Linked DNA regions of Rattus norvegicus. The main gene of each other region encodes a partner of the protein of the gene in region 2 in a complex. Links are inferred from orthologs where the notes say so. Each region holds a gene or a part of one and is shown on either strand. Other genes may lie near its edges.

Region 1 (9,909 bases), about 22 Mb from region 2:
CAAAGAAATGTCTGTCTCAGTGTATAAGATCTTTTGCTCTCCCAGAAGAAGCAAGTTCAATTCCTAGCATCTACACTTGGTAGCTCATTGTTACCTCCAGCTCCAGGGGACCCAAGTCCCTCTTTTAGCCTTCTGAGCTACCCCTACAGATGTTGAATACACATAAAAATATCAGATCCCATCCTGGTCTATATAGGCTGATCCAGGCTAACCAGGGCTACATATTTTTTTTTAATAGGGGCCTATGATCCCAGTTTGGCAATTTCAAGGATATAGAAATAGGTTCTCAAGTGTGAATATAAATTGATAAATCTCAGAGGTAAACATGATCTAGCCAGTGAGAGCCAGGCATGTTGGTGCACACCTTTAAACCCAGCACTTGGCTAAGTTGCACAGAGTGAGTTCCAGGGCTGCACCGAAACCCAGTCTCCAAGTGCATTTGTGTGTCCCTGTGTGTGTATGGAGCGGAGATGGTTCAGTGCTCTTCGAAAGGACCCAGATCCAGTTCCCAGCACTCACTGTAGTTTACAGTTCCATGGAATCTGATACCCTCTTCTGGTTTCTTTAGGTATCCAAATACATTCTTAGATACAGACACAAACTTTTTTTAAAAGTTTAATACATTTACAAGACATTCAGCAGGTGGTTCGAGGAGACGTACCTTCCCCCTTAGACCATGGCCAAGTCATCTGTAACTTTGAGGAGAAGCCACTGTCGATGGTGGCCACTGCCGTGACTTACTTGAAGCCTTGATTGGCCACATTTTGGCACTACGCCAAGGTTGAGCTGGTTCCCCTAATCCCTGGTAAAATCCCTACAGCTATTCAGAGTGTGAAAAAAAAAAATAATTGGAAGTGCTAAGACTGGTAGCTTCAAACACCTTACAGTGAAGGAAGCTGTGCTGAATGGGTTGGTGGCCACTGAAGTGTGGATATGTTCTTATATCAGAGAGATCATAGTCAAATGTGGCATTGTTGGCTATGAGGTTTGAAGACTAATCTTTAACTTCCAATTTGAGATCTTATTTGAATGTTCTTGGACTATGTATGATGAGACTGCTATCTGAATAAAATACTAGCTGTGGAAAAAAAAATACATGTACTGGTTGCTCCTCCCTCAATTCCCACCACTTAGGTGGTTCACAACCTTTTGTAATTTGTAATTCCAGCAATTAGAAGGCTATGAATATATAGTAAATTCTAAGACAGCCAGGGTCACATGTAAAACCTTGTTTCAAAAACAAAAACTGGCCTATGTGGTGTGTCTTTAATCCCAGCACTGTGGAGGCAGTGGCAGACAGATCAAGGACAGCCTGGTCTACAGAACATGTTCCAGGATAGGGCTATGCAGAGAAACCTTGTCTCTGAGTAGGTTGGAGATAACAAGCTCTGAAAGCACTTGCTTAACGTTCTCATGTAGGCCTGATTTTTTTTTTTTAAAACAAGGTCTATGTAATTCTGGTTAGCTAGGATTAAAGGCTTGTGACAGGACACCTGGTTCAAATTTGTACTGCGTTATTAGTCTAACAATTAAGATTTAAGTTGGAGCTGGAGAAAATACTCAGTAATTAAGAGCACTGACCCAGAGGACCCAAGGTTTGATTTCCAGCATCTACATGGCAGCTCACAGCCATCTGTAACGACAGCCTCAGAGGATCTGACTTCCTTTTCTGGTCTCTGAGGTCACCAGGCACAGACAGACATGCAGGCAAATACCTTTCAAGTAAAGTAAGATTTTTAGGAAAAACTGGCTGATTGTGGTGCTCATGCCTTTAATTCCAGCACACAGGAGCTAGAGGAAGGCAGGTGGATAATGAGACCCTGGCTCAAAGATTCCAGCAGAAGGAGCATGCATCTAGTCAAGTTTGGCTAATTGTGTTCCTTTTTATTTGTGGTAACTTCACAGTAAAATTGTGAGCTCTTCCAGTAAGAAAGCCTACCTACCTCGTAATCCAATAAATACTACGATGTCATCAAAAGGAGCCCTCTAGGGTATTTCCATTACATGGTGTGTGTGTGTGTGTGTGTGTGTGTGTGTGTGTGTGTGTGTGTGTGTGTGTGTGTGTGTGACTTTGAGTTGGTTCTCTTGCCACCATGTAGGTCCTTGGGGCTGAACACAGGTCATCAGGCTTGTTTATGAAATGCATTTACCTGCTGAGCATCTCACATGCCCCAGACCTTGAATTTCTGACCCTCCTCCTCCCACCTCCTGGCTGGGATTAGGGTGTCTTGGCCCCCATAACCTGTGTTATATGGTGGTATGCTGGAGATTAAATCCAAGATGTCGTATGCTAAGCATGCACCCCACCAACTGAGCTACATCCCTAGCCCTTTTGGGTTTTATTTCTTTTTTTTTTAAGTAATTTTTTTATTTCTTTTTTTTTTAAAGATTTATTCATTATATTATATATAAGTACACTGTAGCTGTCTTCAGATACACCAGAAGAGGGCATTGGATCTCTTTACAGATGGTTGTGAGCCACCATGTGGTTGCTGGGAATTGAACTCAGGACCTCTGGAAGAGCAGTCGGGTGCTCTTAACCGCTGAGCCATCTCTCCAGCCCCTTTATTTCTTTTTTAAAGGCAGTTTTTCACTCTACCTGGAGTTGGCTCTATAATCCTCAAATTCATAGTGCTCCTCCTACCTCAGTCTTTCAAAAGCTGGGATTGCAGAAGCAAGCCTCCATTCCTGTCTTGGTTCTGTTTTCTGAGACCACCCTGCCTGAGGATCTTTGATTATTCTTTTACATTTTATTTTATTTGTTTCATGTGAGCAGTGCCTCAGGATGCATGTATAAATCAGAGTACAGCTTCTGGGAGTCATTTTTCTCCTCCCACCATGTTGGTCTTGAATATACAACTCAAGTCCAGTTTGGGGCAAACACATTTACTGAGCCATCTTGCTGACCTCCAAGGGTTCTTTTATTATCAATCTAGTACTCCAGTTCCTCTCCCTATCTTTCTACCACAGAGCAGTAACATACAGATTTACTCTGTGGAAATTTAAATCTGGGCATACTCACCAGAGGTGATGTGGCTGGGACTGGCAGGAGGAGAGGCAGGAGTATGTTTGCACAGCTGGTCTAGAATCTCTTGCAGGTCAACCTGTTGATGATAAACTACCTCAGCTTTCCTGATGCTATTCCAACTTTTGCTGAGATCCAGGTTAATGGAAGCGGTCCCTTTAAGAACTGGTTTGGTGGCCCGCCCTCTAAAAGGATCAGCAGGAAGGGAGTCATGTGACTCTGAGGCTCTTCCGCTGAGTTTAGCTAGCTGTGGCTGTATGTTACGCTGTTGGGGACCTCACTGGGGCTGGGTCCCCTGGGCCCCAACCCCATGGCTCCTTTTGAGTCTACTTGTGTGTACAGTTCCATTTGGCCTGCTAGGAGAAGAGACTCGCCAGGTAAGGGCTCTGGAACTAAAGTAATAGATGTTTCCGGAAATCCTATCTTTCTAGGATGACCTGAATCTGGGGCAACAGAGGGGTGGAAGACAAGGGAGAAGTTTCAACCCAGTGTGGAGCCATGAGTGATTGGAAGGATTGGGGGGATGGGGGTGTCAGATCAAGCATAACTGCTTCTGCTTTCTGACAGTGGTTCAGACATTGTAGCCCAGGAACAGGCAAGTTTGGGGACTTAAAAAGCCTTTTCAGCCCTAAGCCCTCTGAGTAATCCTGGCTCCACCCTATCTTCTCAATCTTACATCTGCCCCTGATTCCAAGTTTCCCTCAGTTTCTACACTTCCCTCATGCCTGGTCCTCAAGTGCCCAACTTGCCATTCCTGGCATTACCCAGGTCCTGCCCTCCACCCACAAGCTGCTTCTTTGCCTGTGAGCATCCCTGATCTTGTTCTTTCTGCCCCACTACCCCATGTTTCAGGTATCTATGGAAGTTATTTCTGGCTGGCCAAATCCCCAGAACCTGCTTCATATCCGGGCAGTGGGCAGCAACTCTACCCTGCACTATGTGTGGAGCAGCCTGGGGCCTCCAGCTGTGGTGCTGGTGGCCACCAACACCACTCAGAGTGTCCTGAATGTCAACTGGAGTCTCCTGCTGTCTCCTGATCCTGCTGGGGCCCTGATGGTGCTCCCCAAGAACAGCATTCAGTTTTCTTCCGCTCTTGTCTTCACCAGGGTGAGAGGGTCTGAAGGAGCTCAGAGAGAAGAGCACAAGAAGAGAGTCCATCCTACCCCAAGGGCTAGGGAAGGGCTTAGCACAGGGTGGGTGACGTGAATGCAGCTTTAGGTGGGGTGGACTGGGAGGAAAACTCAAGAGAAAGCCAGAAGGCAAGTCTCTTCCACTCTGCCCTGTCCAGCTGCTTGAGTTTGACAGCACCAATGTGTCAGAGGGGACACAGCCCCCAGGAAAGCCATACCCTCCGTACTCCTTGGCCAAGTTCTCCTGGAACAATGTCACCAACTCATTGGATCTTGCCACCCTGAGTGCCATCTTTCGAGGCCACCCTGTAGATGACCCTACTGGAGCATTTGCCAATGGCAGCCTGACCTTCAAGGTGAGGATCTGGGGACAGCTGACTGATGGGTATGGGAGTATCCCTCGAGCTCCATTCTCCCCACTCGGCTTCCTTCTCCTTCCTAGGTCCAGGCCTTTTCTAGATCTGGTCGACCTGCCCAGCCCCCTCGCCTCCTGCACACAGCCGATGTCTGCCAGGTAGAAGTGGCCCTGGTTGGAGCTTCTCCTCGTGGAAACCACTCCCTATTTGGTCTAGAGGTAGCCACCTTGGGACAGGGCCCCGACTGCCCCTCAGTGAACGAACAGGACTCCATCGATGATGAGTACGCACCTGCTGTCTTCCAGGTCAGGGTTCCATGGGACAGAGATGGGTGGGAATGTAAAGTGGGGTCCCTCCCGCTAGCAGCCCAGAAAATCCACCAACCACTTACTGTTTTTTTAAAAAAAGATTTGTGGGCTGGGGATTTAGCTCAGTGGTAGAGCACTTACCTAGGAAGCGCAAGGCCCTGGGTTTGGTCCCCAGCTCCGAAAAAAAGAACCAAAAAAAAAAAAAAAAGATTTGTGTTTGTTTGGGTTTTTTGAAGGATTTCTTTATTTTTATTTTATGTGCATGTATGTCTGGGAAGGTGCCAGATCCCCTGGAACTGGAGTTACAGACATGTGAGCTGCCCTATGGGTGCTGGGATTTAAACCCAGGTCCTCTAGAAACACAGCCAGTGCTCTTAACTGCTGAGCCATCTCTCCAGCCCCAAAAGATTTGTCTTTTTATGTGTGTGTATTTGGGTGCATGTGTGTATAGGTTCCTAGGATGCGAGAGGAGGGTTTGAGATACCCTGGAACTGGAATTACAAATGGTTGAGTCTCCTGACACGAGTACCAGGAACTGAATTGGGTTTTCTACTAGAGCAGCAAGCTCTCAGCATTGAGCCATCACTAAAGCCACAGCCACCACCCGTTTTTAAAAGGGTTGTTGGTTTTTGTGTGTTTGTTGAGACAGGGTCTCCCCGCGTGTCCCTGAGACAATGTATCTCTGACTGGCAGACCTAGAACTCTTACTATGTAGACCAGGCTGTCCTTGAACTCAGAAAGACTCGTCTGCTTCTGCCTCCTGAGAGCTGGGATTAAATGCATGCACCACTACCTATGGTCCCAGTTTCTTATTTATCAACACTTTCTCTGGCTCCTTTTAATGTTGGGTTCTAGTTTGTTGCCTGCCATCTCCACCCTCCAAGGAAGCAGACAAAACCAGTGCTTCACAGATCCTCGCTGGGATTCTCCTTAACCTGGGGCTCAGAGAGCGCGAGCACTGAATGATCACAGCTCTGTTCATCCCGCTTTCTCTCTGTGGAGGAGAGACCGGCCTCCTACATCTAGCATGTCAATTCTACAACTACACTTAGTCCTGGGGACGCTTGGTCACCTCCTGCCTGTACTACTGAGATGCATTCTGAGAGACGTGGGGAAACAAAAGGATTGCTGCAGGTTGGTCCGCCTCACCCTGCCTCTTTTGCTTTTCTCTCCAGCTGAACCGGTTGCTGTGGGGCTCTTCACCGTCTGGCTTCATGCAATGGCGGCCAGTGGCTTTCTCTCAGGAGCAGCGGGCCCGAGAATCTGCCCTCGCCTGCCAGGCTTCTGCTCTTCACCCCACCTTGGCATATCCTCTCCCTCATTCACCAATTGTTCAAGCCTTCTTTGGGTCCCAGAACAACTTCTGTGCCTTCAACCTGACCTTTGGGGCTCCCACAGGCCCTGGCTACTGGGATCAACACTACCTTTGCTGGTAAGAAGCAAGGGTTTGGTCAAAGTGGAGAAAGGCTGAACTGCTCAGCCTGCCCTCCTAAATTTGCTTACCTTTTTTTTTTTAAACCTTCTCGTTCTAGGTCAATGCTTCTGGGCATAGGCTTCCCTCCAGTAGATTCCTTCTCTCCACTAGTCCTCGGAATCATGGCGGTAGCCCTGGGAGCTCCAGGACTCATGTTTCTCGGGGGAGGCCTATTTCTGCTGCTGCGCCACAAGCAGTATTCTGAGTACCAGTCCATAAATTGAAGCCTACTCTCCAGAGGGACGGGCAGAACCACATCCTCTGCCTTGCTGTGCCTCAAACTGTCAGAAGCTGGAGTGCCAGTGCTGTGATCTGCTTCTCTGCAGAACCTCAGAAGCCAGCCTCAACCTACTGGGGGGCTCCCAGTAAGTTGTCCTTCCGAACCCACGGGAAGGCTACGATTACTGGTCCCCCACATTCCCATTTCCTGTGGATGAAACTTGAAGGCCTACATGAGAGTGACTGTTGGCTGCCCTAGGGGACATGAAATAGACAATTTCCCCATACAAGATTCCAGTCTCACTCTGATTTTTAAATTAGATTTATGTATTTTATTATATTTGTGAGTCTTTTGTTTGTATGGATGTGCAGTGTGGCGGTCGGGGAACTGCCTGCAGAGGTCAGAAGAGGGCACTAGATCCCACGGAACTGTAAACCACCGTGCGGGTGCTGGGGAAATTGAACCAGAGTCCTTTGCAAGAGCAGCAAGTACTCTTACCAGCTGAGCCATCTCTCTAGCCCAGGTTTCCATCTTTTAATGTGTGAGTGCTGCTGGGCCGGTTTGGGGTGGTTCCAACAAAAGGGAAGACTGAGGGAAAGGATTGAAAGGTAGTTTCTCTTTGAGGGCCTGTTTTCTCACCAGTCCTAGTGGTCTCTCCCCAAGGCTCCCCCTTGGTGCTAGGAGGTAGCTTATGCCTGGGGGAGGTGGAGAAGGAAGCAGAAAGAAAGAGTCACAAGAGAGTGGCAGTGATTTATTGCATACTCACATATACATACAGGCTGACGGCCACCCTGCCTTCCTAGCCACCATGTGAGTACAAACACAGTTCTTCTGGAGGTTTTATCTCTATGCCCTTCCCCCTACAGTGGGACTTCTTGGAAGTCTGAAAAGTGGAAGGTCACAGAGACCCATGTAGTTGGGAGAGAGAAGACAACAACTATGTATGTCTTGACTGAGGCAAAAGAGTCTTGAGGCCAGTGGTAATCGAGTCCTGAACCCAAGGTCCTCCAGAAAGGTTTTCACCAACTATCTGATATGACATCAACTTTACCCTTGGGTGTGGGCAGTTTTTCCTTCTCCTTGACTCTCTTCTAGATGGCTGGCACAGACAGTCAGGTGGGGCTGTGGTTCTGCACTCCTGACCCACAAGAAGCTAGGGAGTAAGATAACCATCCAGCCATAGCTCCTGGGTCATGGTAGGAAGCTGCCCAAGAAGGAAGTGTGTTTCTCCAGTCTCCCTTGGGCTCTTGTCCTCTCGGGTAAAGCAGGAGCTAGGAGAAAACAGGGGTATGGGGCCCCAGTGGGGAAGTAGCAAGGTTCCTTGCAACAAATGTCCATTGGCTGGGCAGAAGCCAGGTCTGCAACTGTTCCAGGGAAATGCCGAAAACCCCCTGCACAGCTCTGGGTGGCTCAGCCCCATGAGCGGGGCCTGTAGTCAGAAACAGACCGGACATGGTCGGGGTAGTCCAAGCGGCTCTCGGAGGCACTGAGCATGCGCTCTGGCTCCACCACGAACATGTAATAGAGGTTCCACACCAGCATGGCCAAGAGCGGCAGGAAAGTCAGGCCGTAGCCAAAGCCTCGGAAGGAGCGGCCCACAGCAAAGGTCAGCCAGTATATCAGCCTGTGGAAACATAACAAGGTCCCAGGCAGTTTGTCAAGAGATGGCAGGAGTCTAGGCGAGAAGGGTTGTCAAGGCCGACGCTACTTACTCCAAACACCTCCACTTCCCCACATCTCTCTGAAATGAGACTATTATTCCTGGCTCCTACTTACTATTTAAAATTTTAAGTTGGCAAAACAATTCATTTTTAGTTAAATTACAATTAAATGTTCATTTACACGATGGAGAGTTACATGAGAATTCAACTTTAACATTGCCTACCCTTTTCTGTTTCCACCTTCTCCTCAACTCCCACCCTAGGCATCCAGCGCTCTGGTTTCGTGAGTTATTTCTGTTTTGTAGATCTGACAAAAAGCTATTTGTGGTCCAGGGCTTCCCAAAGCCAGGCAAGTGTTCTACCACTGAACTATATCCCCAGGTCCCCTAGTCCTCCTTTGCCCTCCCAAATCAAGGGTTAACGGGTACTCTACCAGTAGTGCTGGGGACTGAAGCTCGTGCTGTGTGCTATGCATGTACCCTAGTTACTGAGCTGCAGCCCTAACCCGGTGTCTCCCCTTACTCTCCGTTGTTTTGCTTGTTACTTGTCGGTTAGTATTTGAGTCAGAATCTCACTGTGTTACCCTGTATGGCCTCCAGCATGTACCGGTTCTCCTGTCTGAGACGGCACTGCCTGGGACCGCAGCCCTGCACACCAGGCTCTGTTCTCACTTAGCTCCAGTGTGTTCTATGTTTGCCCTTTGCAGATAAAGAAACCAAGATCTTGTTCCTGTCTCAGTGAAATAAAATAAATTCACTGATGACTCCAAATCAAATAAAGTAAAAGGGGGGGTGGCGGTGGGGGGGAGGGGGAGCAAGGGTCAGTGAGGAGACCTCCATGAGAGTGAACTGGCCTCTGGGGAAGAAGTCAGCGTTCACTGACTAGCAGATTCCTACCCAGAGAGCAAAGGTATCAGCCATCCAACCACTAGAGGGGGCTGTTTAAGTACAAGAACTGGTCGGTGTAGTCCAGTGTCAAGAAAGTCAGTGTTGGGCCAATTCATTCACTTGTTTTATTTTTTTCAGGCAAGGTCATAGTTGTGTTGTGCTGCCTGACCTGGGACTCACTATGCAACTCAGGCTGGCATGAACTCTTGGCAGCCCTCTTGCCTCGGCTTCCCAAATACTGGGATCGCAGGCCTGAGCCAGCTACTCAGCTTTAGGGCAGTTGTTAGACCTAAGGAAGAACGTCCTAGCCATTAGGACTCTTAAAACTGGAAATGGGTGTGATGGGGATCTCAGCACTTGAGAGGCTGAGACAGGAGAATTGCCAAGAGTTTGTGTCCAGACTCCATGAGATGGTGACTGTCTCAAAATAAAACAGAAAACGTTCCACATTTTGTGTTCAGCTAGAGGCCAATTCCTTTTTTTTTTTTTTTTTTTTTTTTTTGGTTCTTTTTTTGGAGCTGGGGACCGAACCCAGGGCCTTGCGCTTGCTAGGCAAGCGCTCTACCACTGAGCTAAATCCCCAGCCCCTAGAAGCCCATTCTTAAAGCTATTTTGATGGAGAGTTACAGACTAGAGTAGCTTCAGTGAACACACTGAATGACAAATGAGGTTAGAGTGTCGGGGCTGTGCTTAGATGTGAGGAAATATGTAAGTCGAAAGCTCCCCTTTGGCACAGCTGAGACCAACCTCTAAAAGGGAGAGAAGAGCTGAGTACCTGCTACCCAGTGCAGCTCAGCAGACAGAGCAGGCTCGTCGGTGCATGGTGCATATCCAGAAACATCCCACCC
Region 2 (9,886 bases):
TAGTCTGTCTAAGGGTTTATCTATCTTGTTGATTTTCTCAAAGAACCAGGTTCTGGTTTTGTTGATTCTTTGTATAGTCCTTTTTTTCCCCCTACTTGGTTGATTTCAGCTCTGAGTTTGATTATTTCCTGCCATCGACTCCCTTTGGGTGTATTTGCTTCTTTTTCTTCTAGAGTTTTTAGGTGTGCTGTCAAACTGCTAGTGTATGTTCTCTCCAGTTTCTTTTTGGAGGCACTCAGAGCTATGCGTTTTCCTCTTAGCACTGACTTCATTGTGTCCAATATGTGTGGTTATGTTGTGCCTCCATTTTTATTAAATTCTAAAAAGTCTTTAATTTTTTATTTCTTCCTTGACCAAGTCATCATTGAGTAGAGCCTTGTTCAGCTTCCATGTGTATATGGACTTCCTGTTGTTTGGTTGTTATTGAAGACCAGCCTTAGTCCGTGGTGGTCTGATAGGATGCATGGGATTATTTCAATCTTCTTGTATCTGTAGGGCTGCTTTGTGACCAATTATATGGTCAATATTGGAGAAGGTTCCTTGAGGCGCTGAGAAGGAGGTGTATTCTTTGTTTTAGGACGAAATGTTCTATAGATATCTGTGAAATCCATTTGGTTCATAACTTCTGTTAGTTTCTCTGTGTCTCTGTTTAGTTTCTGTTTCCATGATCTGTCCATTGCTGAGAGTGGGTGTTGAAGTCTCCCACTATTATTGTGTGAGGTACAATGTGTGCTTTGAGCTTCAGTGAAGTTTCTTTTATGAACGTGGGTGCCCTTGCATTTGGAACATAGATGTTCAGCATTGAGAGTTCATCTTGGTGGATATTTCCTTGACCAGTATGCAGTGTCCTTCCTTATCTTTTTAGATAATCTTTGGTTGAAAATACTTTTTATTTGATTTTAGAAAGGCTACTTCAGCTTGTTTCTTGGGACCATTTACTTGGAAAATGTTTTTCCAGCCTTTTACTCTAAGGTAGCATCTGTCTTTGTCACTGAGTTTCATTTCCTGTATGTATGCAGCAAAATGCTGGGTCCTCTTTACGTATCCAGTCTGTTAGTCTATGTCTTTTTATTGGGGAATTGAGTCCATTAATGTTAAGAGATATTAAGGAAAAGTGATTGTTGCTTCTTGTTATTTTTGTTGTTGTTGTTGTTAGAGGTGGAATTGTGTTTGTGTGGCTATCTTCTTGTTGGTTTGTTAAAAGAAGATTGCTCTTTTGCTTTTTCTAGGGTGTAGTTTCCCTCCTTGTGTTGGAGGGATCATAATTTACATTAAAGTTAGATAAGGGCCAGAATAACATCAAAACATTATTTTTACTATTGTTATTTTTATTGTTATCTTACACATAACATGCCTATTACTTTTGACCTGTATCTTCTTCAGTTATGTTAGTTTAAATTTGTATAAACATTAATTGGTTTTGTGAATGCATCAAACCACAGTCAGGGTCAAGGAAATCTCAGATGTGTAGCCAGGCATGTCTGTTGGGAGGATAGAGGGCCGAGAACTGCCTAAGCAAACACAAAATGGGGTCAGGACAAGAGGGCGTTTGTTACCTTAGTCATTCAAATACAAACATCTATTTATCATTCGAAAGGAATTTAACCTCCTTCAACACAGATGTACTACCTGATTGACTACAATAGTATGATAGCTATTTTTACTTAGATTTTCAAAGACTGAAAAAAAAAGCTGGGTTAGAGATAGTGGTAAGATAGGGTTCTTACCTGTATTGGTGGTAGACATGTGAATGGGGATAGCTTTTAGTATGAATACTATTTTTAAAATATATAACATTTTAAATTAAAGTTGCTCTTTGATTTAGCCATTAGACTTGTCTTAGTTAGGGTTTCTATTGCTTTGATGAAACCTTATGACCAAAGCAAGCTAGGGAGGAAAGGACTTATTTAGCTTACACTTCCACAGCACAGTCCATCCCTGAAGGAAGTCAGGATAGGACCTCAAACAGGGCAGGAACTGGACGCAGGAGCTGATGCAGAGGCCATGGAAGAGTGCTGCTCACTGGCTTCCTCCTCATGGCTTGTTCTTCCTGCTTTCTTACAGAACCCCAGAGTACCAACCCAAGGATAGCCGGGCCCTCCCCAACAATCACTAATTAAGAAAATGTCCTACAAACTTGCCTACAGGCTCACTCCATGGAGGCATTTTCTTAACTGAGGCTCCTTCCTCTCTAATGACTTCAGCTTGTGTCAAGTTGACATAAAATTAGCCACCACAAGACTCAGTAATCGCTCCTATGGGCAAAGCCAGGGAGAGTAAAATGCTGGTCCTGGCCCTTCACTGTAGTACAGCTAATGCTGAGTGAAAAAATCAGCCCAAAATGGGGTATGACCACTGTGCTGACAAAGCACAGTGTTAGTCAGGGGACTTCAAGGTAACAAGCAGGCTATGTATAAACATTCCAAACGGTATCACTCTGACACAGTCCTTCTGCTTCCCCATCCCCTATGTTTGGATCTCTTTGGAGGGCCCAACCTAGAAATCTAGGAGACACTCAAAAGCCCTCCTCCTCTTTCAAACCTCATGTGCTAGTTTTTAAACACATCCCCAATTTACTTTGTAAGCAGTCACTGGTACACTCTTTGGTGCCAAACCTTTTGACCTTCCAAGGTCCGTCTTTGAGCCTCTCACTTTCACTTCTGCAGCGTGCTTCACAGCTATTTAGCACCTAGTCTTGCTACACTTAAAATTCTAGTGCAAACACTCGGCACACCTAGAAAAGTGTGGTAGAAGGCTGTTTTGCCAAATCAAGCTTCTCAAAACAAACCTAGTGGTCTCAGTATTCTGCTGGAAAACTTTGAATGTCTCATAAAGACTTTTTTTTTTTACTCTTGACTTCTTATTCCAAGATAATATAAACGTGAAATTATAAACGTATAAATCCAAGACCAGCCATTTTTGGGGAATTCAATGCCTATTTATTTCAGCCGAAGTTATCCATCCATCCATCCATCCATCCATCCATCCATCCATCCACTCATCTATTCGCATTATTATTTTCTGTCCGTCTCCCTAAGTAAATTCTCTCACCAATATTCTGAGGTGAGAGAATTTGTACTCTTTTTTAGTACATAAGTGCCCGGTACATCAGATGTTTCGTCAGGTCTGGGAGCATGAAGAGCTGGAAGTGAGGAGTGTGGAGGACTTAGCAATGAGAAGGACTCTAACTCTGGTCAAGCCTTCCACCAGGACTTCTGCACCAGCATTTCCTAACGGCTTTAAATCAGATGCTAATGAGGAAGAACCCTATTCCACAGGACCAGGTCACCTACTTCCACTCCTTCCCCTATGTGCACCACATCAGCAGAAAAGAAAGAACACTAGTCCCGACACCACGTGAACCGCCGTTCACGTGAGCGCGGGGAGGCGTGACCCGAGAGAGTCACGTGAGCGTACGCGGTCACGTGAGCGCCGCCACTGCCACCCTGCCTCTGCTTCCTGCTCCATTCCGGACCGATGGAGGAGGAAGATGGGGAAGAACGGGCGCTGCTTGGGGGCCGCCCGGAGGCGGACAGCGCACTCCAGGGCGCCCCTCGCGCTCTGCCCGCGCTCTGCGACCCCAGCCACCTGGCGCACCGGCTTGTGGTGCTTTTGCTGATGTGCCTCCTTGGCTTCGGTGAGCGGGGTTGGGCTAGGGCAGATGATTGAGGGATCTCGGGGTTCGGGTCTCCGGATCCGCGCTGCTGCCGGGGCTTGGGAGCCCGCTTTTTCCAAGCGTCGCGAGGGAGGTGACTTTTGTTCCTGCCAAGCCCCGTAGCACAGCATCTCCTCCATGGGGACGCAGATGAGTAGGAATCTCAGATCTTTCCCCCGGAGCCCTGTGCTCGAGTGTCAGAACGTTGCTCCGGGGAATTTCGGAGCGTGACTAAGTCCCTCTTCCTCCCTCCCCAGGAACCCCTCCCGCCACCCAGTGCTTTCCTTTACATTCTTTTAGAGCTCGGACCCGCTTTGGATAGTGTTCACCGCTCTGAACACCTTCGTAGGATTCTTCACTTACCTTTCCTCTGTGGGGCAGTCCTGCAAGACCACGCTTGTTAAGTTGGTTTCACTTATGAAATCTGATCCCCGGGAGAACACTTTCATTAGACTACCTTCCCTCCTGTGTTACAGTTTTTAGTTTACATTGAAACTGTTCGGATTTATAACCCCTGGCTTGGCTTGAAAGTGTGTTTTCAGGGGTCAGATTCACAAATGCTCCTGGTGTATAAAAGATACTTTGGGCTCTGGTTTCTAGTTTTTTGGGAAGATGGTACCTATTTGCTTTGAAACGTGGTATTATGGGGTTGGGGATTTAGCTCAGTGGTAGAGCACTTGCCTAGCAAGTGCAAAGCCCTGGGTTCGGTCCCCAACTTCAAAAAAAAAAAAAAAAAAAAGAAAGAAAGAAAGAAAAAAGAAACGTGGTATTGAGCTGGTCATGGTGGTACCCTTCTTAATCTCAGTACTGGAAGGCAGAGACCTGAACTCCGGGATCCCTCAATCATTTGCCCTAGCCCAACCAGGCTCATGGAAGCCAAGGAATCCCTGTGAGTTAGAGAGGCCAGCCAGGGTTACAAAGTGAGATCTTGTCTCAACAAACGAACAAACCAACCATGATATTGAATTTCTTATAAGCAGTTAAATCCTAAACCAGAAGTTCCTAGGTTTAGAACCAGTAAGCAAAGACAAAACACTTGAAGAAATTGCCCGTACTCTAGCTCACAGGTTATTTTTGGTAGTTATTTTTGGTAGGTAGATTGGGCTCAATGTTCGGGTTTGAGAAACCAGAGTCCTGCCTCTCTAGCCACCGTCTCCACCTTTGGACTGTAGCTTGGTGTATTTTACTGTCAGCGTGGAAACGGGCAGTGCTAACTTGGGGCCTTAAGTCTGCCGGTTTCCCCCCCACTCCCGTTTCTAATTGCTCAGGAGATGTTGCTATTTTTCATTTGATCCCTTAGACTTGCAGTCGCGTTCTTGTTTCTAGACCGTATTCACTCAGTTATTTGCTCCTGGGTATGATGTTTGTTTGTTTGTTTGTTTGTTCTCTGCTCACAGGATCAGAATTTATTTCAAATACTGGCTTGGTTTGAATAGCTGAATACTGCTTTGGAGTAAAGTGAGAACAGCTATTGTGGCACCCATAGAGGATGCTCGTAGAATTTTTTTTTAAAGTAAGGAAAATGCAGCGATTTCATGAAGATGTTAATACAGGGATAAGCGTGGGAGGAATGAAGGAAACAAGATGATCAAAAGCAGTCGATGTTGACCTCTTAGTCAGGTTTCTGGTATTTGCTGTGTATGCACACCGCTAAATTGTGGAAGGTCTTTCGGGTGGTAGACAAGGAAGTGGTGGGAAACAAGCAAAAAACCTGTTTTCAGTGTCAGCCGTAGTAAACCTTAAACACATGGGGGAGTTCCTAGTCAGGAGTTGTCTGTATCATGTAGACATGATCAATCTGAATGAAATACGTGTGCTCCCTTTTCTAGGCAGCTATTTCTGCTACGACAACCCCGGAGCCCTCCAGACTCAGGTTAAACGGGTGAGTTGGTTCTCCACGTTCTTGTGCGGCTCTGGTTTGGAGCACTGACTCGTAGATGCTGAGACACAGCGGACGCTCAGGGTGCCCCATCTGAGAGGTCCGCTTTCTCCTCTAGTGTCTGTTATCACCAGACCCACAAGCTGCAGAGATCAAATTTGCTTCCCTAAAGAACTCATGAGTAACATATGCATGACTTGAGATGGCTTTATTCTCTAGGTAGATACTTATGGACTGGGCCCACAATGTCACCAGAAATGCTAGTTTTGGTAGGAATTTTACACCATGAGTGAATGAACCATGAGTGAATGGTGGGACAGCTTTGGCCTTCTTAGATAAACTTTGCTATTATTTACTTTTATAAATATGGATACTGGCTGCTGGGTATTGGCCCTATTTGCATTCTTGTCTGGTTTTGAATTGTAAAATTATATTTGATATTTGTTGTTTCTTGGTCATTTAGACCATTGTCATGTGCATTTTTTTTAAGCCATTAGGCAGAGAAAAAATGCACAGGCTGCCCTTTGCATTCTAGTAGGAGTTAAGGAGGGTAGCATCTATAAGATCAGGCAACAATGATTATTTTCTGTTTGGGAGGCGTCCATAATGCAGACAGAAAGGAAGAAGGAAGAACGTAGGTGATAGAAAAGGACCGAGCTGGCTTCCCTACCAGTGACAGGTCCTGCAGTCCACAAGGCCCAGGGATAGTATGTGGAAGTAAGATGTCCCCAGGTATGGCTGTTATTCTAAGGGCAAGGGTTGTAACTTTCAGAGTCTCAAGGAAGTAAACAGTTCACAAATGGTTAAGAAACTTGCCCTATACAGAAACACGGCTGTTGCCATGTTTTGCTTTGATTTGTTAATTGCAGAAACTGTATGGGAAAACTTTTTTTTTTCTCCCTATCTAGGACATGCAAGTGAATACCACGAAATTCATGCTGCTGTACGCCTGGTATTCTTGGCCCAATGTAATTTTGTGTTTCTTGGGTGGCTTTCTGATAGACCGCATATTTGGAATAAGGTAAGCTTGCAAAAAAGTGCTGGTTATTAGAATGCAGGAATGGGTTGAAGTTTTTCTTCAAAGAACTGAATAGACTTGTGAATTGACATCTGATGGACATGAAGATTTGGTTTTTGTTTTTTAAGGTTGGTTTTGGCTCTAGACTTGATCCTTGAAGCCTGGTTGGTTTATTAATTAGGGTCAGGCCTAGTAGATGCTGCTGATGGAGTAAGGTCATCAGTTTTCTGGGGTAAATTATGCTCTTAAATTGGGTTAGACGAACATGTGTGAGTTGTCGCTTGGTCAAGTCCCTGTTATGCTAACACTTAGCGCTTCCTAAGCTTCTGCTTCCTCCCTGCTCAGTAGGGGCATTGACTCCCACCTTATGAGCTTCTAGGGATTAAATGAGAGATGGAGTTGTAAAGTCTTTGCACATAGGTGGAGAGTCATCCCTCAGCTCTGTTAAGACTCAAGACTTTCCCCCTCTATGTCTGCCTGTCTTTGGCCATTGAACTTTTTGTGGCCCTGGTCATTAGGCGCTGAAGAGGAATGGTTCCATGCGCTTTGTCACTTTTCCCCTTTCTCATTGGCTGTGTTTGAACGGAGGCTTAGGGAACATCAGCTGGGGCTTCCCTCAGAGGGCAGAAGTGGAGCTGCGGAGTGGTTTTAACTGTTTCCTTACTGGGTAAGGGTTGAAACACCCTGGTGTGTTTAGGTTTGGGGGTTTGCTTTTAAGAACCTCAAACAGTTGAGTATTAAGGAAGTGCTTAGATTTTACTGGGTCTGAAGGGATAGAATTAGCTGATTTTTTAGGAAAACTAATTCCACTTATACGGCGGAGGAACTGCTTTTCACAGGGGTTATATAAACCTTCTTGGGACATTGACTTTCCCAGTTTTAGAGAATATTCGGGCCATGATTGTCCAAGGGTTCTGAGTGAATTTTAGTTTCAGAAATGCAGTTGGCTCTGATGACTTTTGAAGTCTTCTAATCCCACTTTGTGGCTCTGGTGAAATATTAATAGACTGTAGTTGGACCTGTAACTCCACTAACTTGGCGTAGAAATGCCTTCTAAAAGTAGGTTTTAGTTACCAAGGACTATAGCTGACTTAAAATTATCTACTGTAGATTTTCCTGGAATCAGTTCTAAATGAGTAAAATGAAGATTTATTTTTGTGCACGCACTGTGTGTGGCGTTGCTCCCAGGGGCCAGCTCAGGAGTCCGATCTCAGAAGCTGGAGTCACAGGCGGTGGTGAGCTGCCTCTTCAAGCCCAGGGGTGACCCTGGGCCCTCTTCAAGAGTAGTGCATGGTCTTAACTACTGAGTGTTCTTACTAGCCTCCTGCCCTACACCCTAAGTAGGAATTTAATAGAGGAGTTCCATTATTTCTAAATGAGAACTTGGGGAAGATCATTTACGTTTTAAGAGGTAATAATTGGTAAATGAACGTGTGCCGTTGCGGAACCTCGGGAATCCTGTCAGAACTTAATGTTAGTTAATGGATCTGGAAGGTTGCAAATGAGTGGTCACCTTCCTTGGATGCAGAGTGGGCAAAGAAAACCCAAGCTGGTTATTAGTACAGGACTCTGGTTACCAGCAATAATGTGAAGAAATGACATTTTCTCTCTCACACAGATGGGGCACAGTTATTTTTAGCTGCTTTGTTTGCATCGGACAGGTAAGAAAAGCCCAAATATTTACTCATTACTTGACAATAACTTTGCAGTCTTATTTAATTAATTCCCTTAGCAAAAATATGCTGAATGAATGAATGGATTTGTTTGTCAATTACTCAGGCCCGTGAATGGCCACGTGGTATCATTCATTTTAAGCCTTAAATTACATTGTCTTAGTCACCTCCTCATTGCTCTGACTGGCAGAAGCCACTTAGGAAGGAGAAGGGTTTGTTCCAGCCCACTGCTTGAGGGGAGGCATGGTGGCCGGAGCCATGACTCCGGCCGTCAGGAAACAGGAAGTGGCGGGTGCATGCTCAGTTCAATTTCTTTTTTATGCTGCTCAGCCCATAGAATGGTGCCACGCACGCTGGGGTGGGTCTTTGCACGTGGGTTAACCTAACCCAAAAGATTCCTCGCAGATATGCTGGAGGCTTGCCTCCTGGTGACTAGAAGTCCTGCTAAATGCATGAACATTCTTATTTTAATTTCTTGGATTTATTAGTGCGGGCTAGTGAAAGTGACGTGGAAATGAGGATTTGTCTTGTTATTTACTCTGTTTAAATATCCTGTTTTATTTTTATTACTATTCATATTGCAGGTCATTTTTGCTCTGGGTGGAATATTTAATGCATTTTGGCTGATGGAGCTTGGGAGGTTTGTGTTTGGGTAAGTTATAGCTTAATTTCATGTTATCTTAGCACGCTTATTAAGGATCTGTGATGCCGAGGGTTAAAGCTAGGGCCTCCCATATTCCAACCAGTCCACTGACCCACCCTAGTAGTGCTTTACTAAGGATTTAAAAGAAAACATCATTTCTGAAGAAGTTTAAAATATTCAAACCCTACAAGCTAACCACGATGACTCAGAAAACTAAGTCTTAGTTAAATCAACTAAGAAGTACACTTACATATATAGGCTATGTTTCAAAGATCTGAAATAATTCCTCACTGTTGGCCCAAGAGTGGAGTCCCGTGAGGAGAATTCTGGGAGCTTGTGAGAATTTATTTTGAAACTTGATTATATTGAAAACTTACTTAAGTCTCATTGGCAGAAGTATGAACCATCAATTTCTAGGTTGTTTACTTTGGGCATCCTCCTCTTCCTTAGCGAGTGGCAGATATGTCTTTCTGCCCCCCATTGTGGTGTCTTGAATTAGCACAGAATCTCAGGGTGACTTCCCCATGTACATTTCAGTGTCTGTTCCACAAACCTATTCTGAGGCCAGCCTCAGGCATCCTACCCTGAGAGATACAGTATGCAGAAAGAGGTCTTTTTTTCCCAGAGGCACCAGGGCGTATAGATCGATGTAGCACATCGCCAGAGGAGACAGCATGTATAAGAGCATGAAAGAGGTTAAATGGCCACATGGGTGAAGTGGGACAGTGTAGAAGGAAGTGTGGGGACTGATGTGTACACGAGAAGGATGATGGCTTTGCTAGGACAGTGCCATGCAGGATCTCAAGGGGTAGTGATAGACACGTGGGTCTAAGAGAAGGAAAGTCAAAGCCCAAGCAGTAGAAGAACGTCGACCATGCAGGAGCCTCGAGTGTTGACCAGAAAATGAGTTTCCATCTGTACAAAATGCGAATGAAGGATTCCCCTCCGTGTCGGTGCTTTGCGTAGGACACATGGTATATCTTATTTCATTGCCTGTGATTTCTAGTTAATTCAGCCA

What was found. The genes of interacting proteins can lie anywhere in the genome.
Region 1: the proteins of Mfsd1 (region 2) and Glmp are in contact, whole or in part, in a cryo-EM structure (PDB 8R8Q), measured with the Mus musculus proteins. The link is inferred for Rattus norvegicus from reciprocal best matches to the Homo sapiens genes MFSD1 and GLMP. Residues at the interface, in NP_080089.1 of Mus musculus: Val288, Glu292, Lys293, Arg295, Phe349, Phe351, Leu411, Asp412, Lys414, Gly415, Tyr416, Leu417, Leu418, Val421, Ile424, Ser428, Leu432, Val435, Leu439; in NP_064387.1 of Mus musculus: Glu250, Asn252, Ser253, Ile254, Asp255, Asp256, Glu257, Pro260, Ala261, Phe263, Gln264, Arg292, Phe364, Leu367, Val368, Ile371, Met372, Ala375, Ala378, Leu381, Met382, Gly385, Phe389.

The regions. Positions count from the first base shown.
Region 1 is NC_086020.1:176,088,842-176,098,750, forward strand, and holds Glmp (glycosylated lysosomal membrane protein precursor), read left to right. Parts: upstream 1-3,256; 5' UTR 3,257-3,282; coding exon 3,283-3,402; intron 3,403-3,877; coding exon 3,878-4,132; intron 4,133-4,313; coding exon 4,314-4,511; intron 4,512-4,597; coding exon 4,598-4,816; intron 4,817-5,994; coding exon 5,995-6,251; intron 6,252-6,351; coding exon 6,352-6,517; 3' UTR 6,518-6,847; downstream 6,848-9,909. Other genes in the region: Tmem79 (transmembrane protein 79), read right to left, coding at 7,924-8,137. UniProt on the Homo sapiens protein: Required to protect lysosomal transporter MFSD1 from lysosomal proteolysis and for MFSD1 lysosomal localization.
Region 2 is NC_086020.1:154,152,753-154,162,638, forward strand, and holds the start of Mfsd1 (major facilitator superfamily domain-containing protein 1), read left to right. Parts: upstream 1-3,451; 5' UTR 3,452-3,477; coding exon 3,478-3,637; intron 3,638-5,484; coding exon 5,485-5,537; intron 5,538-6,442; coding exon 6,443-6,555; intron 6,556-8,170; coding exon 8,171-8,213; intron 8,214-8,809; coding exon 8,810-8,877; intron 8,878-9,886. UniProt on the Homo sapiens protein: Lysosomal dipeptide uniporter that selectively exports lysine, arginine or histidine-containing dipeptides with a net positive charge from the lysosome lumen into the cytosol.